3 linked regions of the Cricetulus griseus genome follow. The protein of the gene in region 1 interacts with the protein of each later gene in a biochemical or structural test. Links are inferred from orthologs where the notes say so. Each region holds a gene or a part of one and is shown in the gene's direction. Other genes may lie near its edges.

Region 1 (3,646 bases):
CCAATTGTTAGCACAAATGACTACAAAGTCCTTTAAGGAAGCAGGTTGCCTGACTGGTGTTGAGGCACAATATCTAATTGGGCTTGTTTCTTTGTTTGTTTTGCTCTGTTTTGTTTGTTGTTTTGTTTTGTTTTTGTTGTTACTTTACTGCAGAGGTGTGAAATTCTGAGCTATTGGGGGGCTTTGCTCACTTTGTTTAGACTCTGTATACAACAGTTCTCTGTCCCTCTCAACTGGTCTTTACCCCAAGCCAGACCACCTGAGCCCACACTATCAAAAGAACAACAAACAAATGTTGATCTATTAGCCATATGTCTTTAAAAAAGGATGAAATAGATTCCCAGTGCCCATCATGAGGGAAACCTGTTACTATACCTTTCCTATGAGGAAAGCCAGGTGATACGTAGAGTTCCTCTGTCGTATCTTAATCATAGTTTGAGTAGACAGCAATGCTCTTTGCCTAGGTTAGTGTTCTGATGGCAAAATAGTGTATATTGTGATAATTATGTCCTATTTATTTGAGATTCTTGTTTAAAATTTAAAAAGCAAAAAAAAAAAAAAAAAAAAAAAAAAGGAAGCTATGCCCTAGATGTAGGGCTTTTTTTCCCAACCAAAGGTCTACAAAAGTTTCTATAGAAACTGTGATTGAAAGATCCCCATATACATTGGTCCCCTTTATTCGGGATTTATCTGTTATCACCCTCGTTTCTGAAGGTCTTTCTGCACAATTCCCCGATGCATTTTGGGCTCAGTGAGAAGCTCAATTTCAGACATAGTTCAAGGAGGAGAGTGGCTCCTTCGAAGGGCAGCCTTCCCAGGTGTTGAACATTGGAACGGGTGCACAATGGGAGGGGTCTGAGGTAAGGGGGAGGGTGGGTGTCCAATCAGAGGGAACCTTAATGACGACATCAGGTGCCATGGCTGCACACTGTGCTTAACTTCTCTGACCATTAGGTTTATTGATACCACTGAAACTGTGTAACATGTCTCCCTTTTCTGTCTTCCCTATGCTTCTGTTGGATGTGATCTCATTTGAGAGTCATCGTCAGTAACCTGTGTATCTTCTCCAAACCTATGTCTGTTGCACTGAGGATGAAAATCCAACACTAACAAATGTTCCTTGGGCTAAAAATAAAGATCATTGAAATACATGGTTTCCCACAAAGGGTTGAACATGCCAGGGTTGTGCTACTGTAATGTTTCCATGCGTCATTTGGACTAAATCTCTCTAATTCTATTGATTAGAGTTACAAATGGGTTATAATATGTTAAGTTCCAATATTTTTCTGACTTGACTGGAACCTGCTTCTCTGTGAGGCTATTTTTGTAATGAGTTTTTTGTACTTAATTTAACTGCCGCGGTATTGGGGTGGTGGGTGGGGACCTTGTTCTTTTGTTGTTTATTGTTAATGCTCTCCTATGCCAGCCTGTCATTGTTCCAGTTGTTTGAAAAAAAAAATCACAAAAACAAACAAAAAAAAAAAAAAAAACAAAAGGATGCATCATCATCTGGTTTTCAAGTCATCTAACAGCTATCTAAAATCATCACTGTTCCAATTACGGTCTCTGCAGCCTTGGGTGTTGCCTTAGACTGACTGGACAAATAAACTCTCTTTGCCCTATGTTAACAAATGAAGATTTTTTTTCTTTCTTTCTTGTTATAGGGAATCTAAATGTTCAACTTTTTCTCTTTCTCTCTTTCTCCTTCTCTCTGACTGTTCTTGGTGCTGGGCTCTCCCTTCTACAGCGATGATACCTCCTAATATCGCTGCATGTATGAGAAATGAAAAGCTCGGGGAGGCTTGCTTCTACCTTATGGGCCATAATCAAACTACGGTTTGTAGCTAAATCAATACTAGGTGTTTCTGTGCTGTGGCCTAATTTCCTCATTGCTTCTGCTTAGCTCTATTTTGATATGTTTGGCAATTCATTCTGAGCACCCTGCGTTCTTTGAATTGTAAGTACATGGCTAACCCTGTTGAAGTGTTGCTCTCCCTTGTCTCAAGAATAGAATAAGATCATAGGTTAGATTGACAGCTTCTCTCCCCCAAATGTGGAATGCCTTTGTCTTTGTCCCAGTAGCACACTTAGCATTTAGAGAGAATGGGGCTCATCATGGAGCTCTCCCCTGGTGGGTAAGGCTTTGCTGCACAGGAAGAGGACATTTCCTGGTTGAGGTATCTCTCAGCAGACTCCAGCCTGTGAACCAAATCCTGGTTAAAGCCAGTTTTGTAAATAAGGTCTTACTGGCATATAGCACACCCATTTTTAAAAAATGTTTTTGCACCACAGTGGTCAAGTTAAAGAGGGATTGCTGACCCAAAATAAGTGATAGCAGACCCCCTCTCCAGTAAGAAGAACCAAGACTGTGAGGACTCATGCTCTAGGCTCTAGCTCTCCCTCTGTTGAACTCATCCTGGGTTTGGAGAGATCTTTCATTAGACAGACCGTCTGGTTCCTGCTGTCCTGGCTGTCTCTGTGGAAGGTGTTGATAAAACCCAGTATCCCATGTTGCAGCTCAGCAGCTTGGGCACCTAAAACTTGATGGGTTTATCATTGCAACAGAACATCCCACTTTGCAAAGGCTCTCATAAATTCAAGATGCTGCCTTAAATGGCTGTAGTGTCAGTTCAGATAGTTTAATGATGAATGGGACTTGCCATGGGCTGTCCAGCCTTTAGATCTGTAGATGCCTGAGTGAGCTAAGGAGCAGTCCCATGGCCCCACAGCTCTTGCATATTGTTATGGTTGCTTCTCACACCATAAAGAAAGGTGCTTTTAAATGTAGAGATTTTGTAAATCCCAGCTCATCTCAAGCACCTAATAACCCATCCCTCTCACTTTTATCTGGCAGAAAGCTTTTTTTTAATACAGTTCCTTTTTTAAAAAATTTACTTGAAAGTAGAGAAAATAATTAAATGTAAAAGAAGTAGTTTAATGGACCTTCAAGCCTAGATAACCCCCTACTCTGAATCACTTTTTAAAAGTAGAAGTATGGTTTTTTTGTATGACATGCAGATCCTCAGCCAGTTGCCCTGCTTCTTGTTAGATCACCACTCAAATATGCCAGCGACTATTTCTAACCCCCAGAAAGCTTTCCTCATGCCCATCCAAGTCTGTGTCCTAGGTTAATTTTAAGCAGAACAAGTATTCACAAATAAAATGGTATTGGGGGGGAACGGGGAAGGGCTGATGGGTGGCCAAGAAAGAATAGGTGTGGGTCAGGGTACCATAGTTCAGATACCTCTAGATAGACCCTTCCATTATAATGGCCTGTCTTCAGGGTACGGGGAATAGTCAGCTAGATGTTGAAAGCCATACTGCTAGTTTTTAATCTTTACTAGTTGCAGTAATATTTAAATTAACCAAGATTCAGTTGGCTTGGAATCTGCTTTAACAGTTGTTTGTTTTTTGTGACTAATGAGTCAAGTGTGGGAGGGAACCAGGGCCAGGAGCCACAGGACCTTCATGTTAAACTGTTGTCCTATTTCTCTTCCTGGCAGACCCCAGCAGCGACCGGAACGGACCCTCCACCGGTGCACAAGGTGTTCCGGAAGTGAGGCCCGGGCCGCCTGACCGCAGACCGCATCCAGCCTTGGAGTCCAGTTACCCACCCGATCTTCACAAATCATCACAACATGGGGAA
Region 2 (3,746 bases), on another chromosome or scaffold:
GGGTGGTCTGGGTAGAGTAGGATGGTGCCTGAAGGGAACCCTACTGAGAATGAGCATTGTCAGTTAGGTGAAGCTGAATTCATCCAGCCAGTTCAGGACGAAGTGGGTTGACCTAGAAGTCCTCATTTCAGACAAGGGCTTCCGTCAAAAGATTCCTCCATGGCCTTGCTGTCTCCCTATGGTTCTTATTCTTCACCTATTCCCTTTCCTTTCTTTCCTCTTTCGTGTTGGTCATGAACCCAGGACCTCTATACTCTAACGCCGAGCAAAGTCCACCTCCCCAACCTCAGCCCTTGCTTGTTTCTTTATAACCCACATAACCCTCCTGACTCAAGGAGTCTAGTCATTCCACGTGACCTTGGCACCATCTCCACTTCTCTGCGGACACTGGCCTTCCTATCTGTGATAGGGGAGTGCCGGACTCAAGAGTTTTTCGTTCTTTTCCAGTCGACTCTACGTTCTCTGGCTAAATGCTCTGTAATTCAGAGCCAGCCTTTGACTGGAAATTTTAGGTTCTTTCCACCTGTCCCCCTCCAATGGCATAGGCCTGGCACCTGCGGCCAGTTGTAAAAGGACTTATTCATGCTCAATTTCCCCAGTGCACTAGGAGGGAGGGTACCTAAGGGACCGAGAGGAGGCAGCATGAGGAATTCTGCTCGCTACTACCTCCTCTTTGCAAATAATCCCACTTAGAGCATTGAACCTCTACTCCTGAGAAATTCCCATACAAACAGTGCAGTCGCAGACTGGAGGCGGGGGCGTCCTGTGCGCGTGCGTCGGCGCAGAACCCTCTCCCGCCCACGTGCGCGCTCCCGGGAGGAGGCGCGCGCCCCGGCGGGCTGGCGGGAAGGCGCGCGGGAAGCCCCCAGCTGCCTTCTCGGTGTGGGGGGAGGGAGAGTGGGAAGCGTCTGGAACGTTCCACTCTAAGAGAGAGCCGGGGGAATCTTTCGAGCCCCGCTCCCGTTTCCGTCCTTCTCCTCCGCCGATCAATCCATGAAGTTTCCCCCCACTTCTCACACCGAGATCCGGAGCCCCGTGGCGCGGCCTCGCTCCCCCTGAAGCAGGCGGTGGCCAGAAGCGCTTCCCTCTGCCGCCGGAGCGGGGCGCTGTGGCGCGGGCCGGGGCCGGAAATTCCCGCGGCCTGAGTGGTTGGCGGAGCCCTAGCGGGGAGAGCAGCCCCGCCTTCCTCCTTCCCGGCCGGGCGGGGGCGTCGGGCAGCGCGAGGGCCTGGTTGCCCGAGTGGGTGGGGGGCCGCCGCGTCAGCCAGCTGCAGCCGAGCCGCGGCAGGCGGCAAGCGCGGCGACGGCGGCCGCTCCTCCTCAGCAGCCCCGCGAGCCGCGAGCCCCCCAGCGCCCCCGCTCGCGCCCCCGCCCCCTGGCCGTCCCCGCCTCCTTCCCTCACACACCCCCCGGGCCGCCCGGGCCCCAGGCCTTCCCGGCGCTCCTCCTCCCTCTCTCCACACTCTGCTGCGACCCGGGTGCTGCTGCGGTCCTCCTGCCTCGCTGTCTCCGGGGCGAGTTCTCCTCCTCCTCAGGCTCTCCTTTCACACACACACGCGCGCGCCCTGGCTCTCTGGGCCGCCCCCTTTTCTCCAGCCCTCCTCACCCTCACAGTCCTTTAAACGCCGCCGTCGGGGGTGGGCGGAGGATTAATGTCCCTTCAGCATCATGCAGCCGCCGCCGAGGAAGGTAAGGGCGCCGCTGGCGGGGGGCTTTGGAGATCTGGGGGGTGGCGGTGCGTACAAAGAACGCGGCTGGGGCGACCGCTGCGCCCCCTCCCCCTTCCCGCAAGGGGCCGTGACCGCTCTCGCCTCTTGGCTTGTCACTGAGTTGCCGCCTGCTCCAGGCAGGGGGTCGAGTGTGTGAGGTGTCTTTCCGACGGAGGGCGGCCAGTGCTTGTCCACTGCACTAGGGATTACCGCCCCTCCGCCCCGGACATTCGCTAGAGTTTTTTCGGGCATGCATATGTGTGTCTGTCTGCATGGCAGTGTTGCCCAGTGCAAAGTGCTTTCTCGGGGCTGCACAGAGGGGAGGCGGGGGGAGCCCCTGCAGATTTGCAGAGCCCTGTGCGTGTGGGATTGTTTAGTCTGAGCCAGGTTCGAGTCCTCCAGTTGCTTGTCGACACCCCACCCATTGGCACATTTGCGGAGACACGGGGGGGGGGGGGCGTTGTTTTAAGTCTAGCCCCAAAATTTGGCCTGTTTTTCCCACGGGGCTGCGGAAAAGAAGTTGGTACGGTCATCTCCCTCCCACCCCAAGGGAAAGCAAATTAAGGATTGACGGGTCCTGCTCTCCCCCCCCCCCCCGGACGCCCAGCCCCGCCTCCGGCTAAGGGGCCAGGGAAACTGGCTTCCAGTATGAAAGCCAGAACCTGGCGATGCGTGGCTTGAGCACTAGGGCCGGGGTTTGCATGGCCTGGGTGGCAGTGACGGGCCGTACTCCGATGCTTGCCAGCAGCTTACCCTGCTGCGCCGCCCTTCTCCACCTTTCCTGGCGGCTAAGGCTGTGTCCTTGTCTTTGTAAATCTTTCAGATGGATACTAGATATCTACTCTGAGCAGTGGGTAGAGACAGTTATATCTTCCCCTCGTGGGCAAACATTTGCCACATGAGTAACTCAACGTTTGTTTCCTTTCCTTTCCCTTTCTTAATCTGGATTTCTCCAGTTAACTCATTCCCCCACCCCCTTCCCCCTGCACGTGTACCCCACCTCTCCATGTCGCTTTGCCCTGGTGGCCAGAATTCCACCATACTCGAAAACCATTTGCAACCCCCGGGGTCCGGTCTGGCCGGGGAGTCTCCGGCCAGCTGGCTTCGGCGGTTTTCGTTGTTTGAAGTGGGGCTGCCACCTGGCCTGGCTTACTGGGTTAGTTTAAAAGCCCTGCATATTCTAGAAGGTCACTTTTACGTTCTCCTTTGTGAGAAAAAGATTGTGATTTGATGCGCTGTCAGAGTGGAGGGCATCATTCTGAGACGGTGTTCTTTCTAGCAGCCATTATGGAATATTTTATGTAATTTATTCATGCATATTATTTCATGATTGTGTAAATTTCAGTTGCTAGGTATTAGGTACTGTATGCTTTCTTTCATCTGTGCTCACTGCTCCTGGTGGTTAATGTCTGTCTGTGTCTTTGGGAAGAAAGAGAAGACAGAATTGACAGTTTACACTCTTTAAACTGTAATTTTTGAATTTTTAGTCAGCCCCTGTTTTAGAAATTCTGGCAAATTTTTTCATTAATCATAGTTAAGTAGTAAAACTAAGTGGCAAATAATGAATTTTTTAGTTTTTATGGAGAGGAAAACTAGAAGTATACAGTCTAACAAATACTGTTTTCTTTAAGGAATTTTTCTTGTTCAAATTGTAGTAAAAGTCTTCATAAGTACATGTTGTGTTTTAGGTGAAGGTTACACAAGAACTGAAAAACATTCAAGGTGAGCAGATGACAAAACTTCAAGCCAAACACCAGGCAGAATGTGATTTACTTGAAGATATGAGGTAAGATTACAGTAAAGAATTGGAGAACTGTCTCTGCCACTGAGGACTTTTGAGTTGCCAAGCCCCAGGATCTGATGATGGAATTTCCTTTTGGATTTCCTGCTTTCAGGCTGCAGAATTTTGACTCAGCTGGAAGTTAGAACTGGAACTAACACAGTGCAAACTTTTCCTCAGTGTACACATACTACTGAAAAACAGGGCTTTAAGAGTAAGTCTGTCAGTTTGTAATCACTCAACTGAAAATTCTTACAT
Region 3 (3,428 bases), on another chromosome or scaffold:
TCTGCAATCCTAGTTCATGACGTCAACCAAAAGGAATAGCTCCTTGTGTTGACTCAGCTCGGATTATAAAACCCAATGGGCGCGACAGAGCACAAATGCAGGTGTCAAGGTGTTAAAATCAGAGCCAAAAACTCTGAAGCGTCATTCGGTGTGTCCTTTCTACGCGGGGTGGCGGCGGTGGTGTCATCTACTCTAGACTGCATGTTGCAAACTTCTCCTTCATACTCGGCACACACCGTGGCGTCATTCTCCTTGGCTGGGGTTGGGAGGTGTGTGTGTGTATGTGTGCGTGTGTGCGTGTGCGCGTGTGCGCGTGTGCGCGTGTGCGCGTGTGCGCGTGTGCGCGTGTGCGCGTGTGCGCGTGTGCGCGCGCGTGCGTGCGTGTGTGTGTGTGTGTGTGTGTGTGTGTGTGTGTGTGTGTGTGTGTGTGTGTCCAACTGGTCCCTGGCGTTGACTGTTAACACCCAGAAACCTTCACTTCCTTTCTCCATTGACTGGGCTTGAGTGACAGCACAGCTCTGAGCGAGAACAGCCAGAGAGCCTTTCTGACAGATGCGCGCTCTGCTCCAGCAACCGGCCTGGCTGGAAACTTTCCTCTAACCACGAACACCCACTTCCCATTCCCCCCAAGCTGTCAGGCTGGCCGGGTCCCCTCTCGAGCAGGGAAGGGCCAGGCTGCCTGATGGCAGAACCAGTCTCACAGCTAAACTCCTCCAACCCCAGCAGACAGGCTGTTCAAGGCACTGGGCGTCTTGAGAACGCCAACAAGATTCCCTCCTCGCTGCAGGGAACTCGGCAGAGGAGGCAGAGCGGCGCGGGAGCTGCGGGGCGCCGGTGGGAAGGAGGAGAGCTAGGGCGGGAGCCGCGCCGCGCCGAGGGAAAAAGAGAGCTGGTGCTGGGGCGAGCGGGGACCCCCTGGAGGGGGCGGGGACGCAGCAGACCCGACTCCGGTAGAAGCCTGCCGGAGCCGGAAAGGGCGCGCTCGCTGCAGCCGGTGGGTGCCGGGGAGATGCTGGCTCCGCAGTCCGCCCGGAATCTTTGGAGCGGCTCAATCGCGGGTAGGAGGGGGTGCCGGGTGTTGGGGGGTGGGGGCACCGTTGTCGGGGGCGTGCCTTGGCGGCGATTGGCTGCGGGAGCTTGACGCGCGGCCCCGGGGCTGGCTAGGGGGGTGGCAGCGGGGTGGGGTGTGGGGCCGGAGCTGTCGGCCCCGCGCGCTCAGAAACATGCTGAGGTCCCGGCGGCTCTTCCAGCAGCGGCAGCGGCTCCAGCAGCAGCGGCGGCGGCGGCGGCGGCGACAGCGCTCGGCTCCGGCGGAGAAGGCGCTCGGAGTCCATGCCTCCGGCCCCGAGCCGCGGCTGCCCTGACCTGGCCGCGACCTCCCGCGCGGGCCCCGCAGCCCCGGCTCCTGGGGTGTTCCCCAGCCGCGGCCCAGCCCCGCCACACCCCCCGCCCCCGGCCTCCGCAGCTCGGCATGGGCGCGGGGGCGCTCGCCCTGGGCGCCTCCGAACCCTGCAACCTGTCGTCGGCCGCGCCGCTGCCCGACGGCGCGGCCACCGCGGCGCGCCTGCTGGTGCTCGCGTCGCCGCCCGCCTCGCTGCTGCCTCCCACCAGCGAGGGCTCAGCGCCGCTGTCGCAGCCGTGGACTGCGGGCATGGGCCTCCTGCTGGCGCTCATCGTGCTGCTCATCGTGGCGGGCAACGTGCTGGTGATCGTGGCCATCGCCAAGACCCCGCGGCTGCAGACGCTCACCAACCTCTTCATCATGTCCCTGGCCAGCGCCGACCTGGTCATGGGGCTGCTGGTGGTGCCTTTCGGGGCCACCATCGTGGTGTGGGGCCGCTGGGAGTACGGCTCCTTCTTCTGCGAGCTCTGGACTTCGGTGGACGTGCTGTGTGTGACGGCCAGCATCGAGACCCTGTGTGTCATCGCCCTGGACCGCTACCTCGCCATCACGTCGCCCTTCCGCTACCAGAGCCTGCTGACGCGCGCGCGAGCGCGGGCCCTCGTGTGCACGGTGTGGGCCATCTCGGCTCTGGTGTCCTTCCTGCCCATCCTCATGCACTGGTGGCGGGCCGAGAGCGACGAGGCACGCCGCTGCTACAACGACCCCAAGTGCTGCGATTTCGTCACCAACCGGGCCTACGCCATCGCCTCGTCCGTCGTCTCCTTCTACGTGCCCCTGTGCATCATGGCCTTCGTGTACCTGCGGGTGTTCCGCGAGGCCCAGAAGCAGGTGAAGAAGATCGACAGTTGCGAGCGCCGCTTCCTCGGCGGCCCCGCTCGGCCGCCCTCACCCGCGCCCTCGCCGTCGCCAGGGCCGCCGCGCCCCGCAGACTCGCTGGCCAACGGGCGCTCCAGCAAGCGGCGGCCGTCGCGCCTCGTGGCCCTGCGCGAGCAGAAGGCGCTCAAGACGCTGGGCATCATCATGGGTGTGTTCACGCTCTGCTGGCTGCCCTTCTTCCTGGCCAACGTGGTGAAGGCCTTCCACCGCGACCTGGTGCCCGATCGCCTCTTCGTCTTCTTTAACTGGCTGGGCTACGCCAACTCGGCCTTCAACCCCATCATCTACTGCCGCAGCCCCGACTTCCGCAAGGCCTTCCAGCGCCTGCTCTGCTGCGCGCGCCGGGCCGTCCGCAGACGCCGCGCATCCCACGGGGACCGGCCGCGCGCCTCGGGCTGCCTGGCGGGAGCTGGGCCGCCGCCGTCCCCTGGAGCTCCCTCGGACGACGACGAAGACGATGCGGGGATCACGGCACCCGCGCGCCTGCTGGAGCCCTGGGCTGGCTGCAACGGCGGGGTGACGACTGTGGACAGCGATTCGAGCCTGGACGAGCCGGGGCGCCGGGACTTCTCCTCGGAATCCAAGGTGTAGAGAGCCAGGCTCTCCCGGCGGGCGCACGGACGCCGGCCCCACGGTCCCGGCCTGGACACAGGCTCCGCGTCCCTAGAGGAAGAGAGCTTGCCGGGCGCCCCTGAGCCGCTCCGCAGAGGAGGGAGGAGACCTCTGTTTACTCAAGACCGAAAGCAGGTGAACTCACAGATGAATCTGAATCATCCCAGACGTACAGCAAAGCCCCGGACCGTCCGCAGCGCAAAAAGGGAAGTTTGGGAGGAGTTGGGAGAGTGTGGCTTTCTGATTTGTCTTGGGTTCCTTTCTCTCTGGGGTTCGGCCTTTTGTGTGTTCTCGTGATACACCTTTAGCTTTTGTTTTTTGTTTTGTTTTGTTTTCCAGATGGGTTTTGACATTTTCTGCAAGGACCGGAGTGGAAACTAGGTGGGGAGGGTAAAGGGGGAATGAAGTCTACCACCTGGCTTCCGGTTCCACATCTAGGAACCTAAGTAGTCAGCTCCAGTTTGGGGTGCTGGTGGGAGCGGTGATAATTAGCCAGGAAATGTTTTCTTTTGCTTTCTAAAGAAATTGCATATTG

Evidence for each region.
Region 2: the proteins of Magi1 (region 1) and Fchsd2 form a complex in vitro, tested with the Homo sapiens proteins (2 studies listed by BioGRID and IntAct, with this or other methods). The link is inferred for Cricetulus griseus from reciprocal best matches to the Homo sapiens genes MAGI1 and FCHSD2.
Region 3: the proteins of Magi1 (region 1) and beta-1 adrenergic receptor interact in a test that uses a peptide from one of them, tested with the Homo sapiens proteins (2 studies listed by IntAct). The link is inferred for Cricetulus griseus from reciprocal best matches to the Homo sapiens genes MAGI1 and ADRB1.

Annotation. Positions count from the first base shown.
Region 1 is NC_048601.1:50,147,703-50,151,348, forward strand, and holds part of Magi1 (membrane-associated guanylate kinase, WW and PDZ domain-containing protein 1), read left to right. Parts: intron 1-1,747; coding exon of another isoform or gene 1,748-1,836; intron 1,837-3,503; coding exon 3,504-3,646. UniProt on the Homo sapiens protein: Plays a role in coupling actin fibers to cell junctions in endothelial cells, via its interaction with AMOTL2 and CDH5. May regulate acid-induced ASIC3 currents by modulating its expression at the cell surface.
Region 2 is NC_048596.1:98,440,878-98,444,623, reverse strand, and holds the start of Fchsd2 (F-BAR and double SH3 domains protein 2), read left to right. Parts: upstream 1-1,354; 5' UTR 1,355-1,667; coding exon 1,668-1,688; intron 1,689-3,396; coding exon 3,397-3,494; intron 3,495-3,746. UniProt on the Homo sapiens protein: Adapter protein that plays a role in endocytosis via clathrin-coated pits. Contributes to the internalization of cell surface receptors, such as integrin ITGB1 and transferrin receptor.
Region 3 is NC_048596.1:4,713,397-4,716,824, reverse strand, and holds beta-1 adrenergic receptor, read left to right. Parts: upstream 1-1,471; coding exon 1,472-2,872; downstream 2,873-3,428. UniProt on the Homo sapiens protein: Beta-adrenergic receptors mediate the catecholamine-induced activation of adenylate cyclase through the action of G proteins. This receptor binds epinephrine and norepinephrine with approximately equal affinity.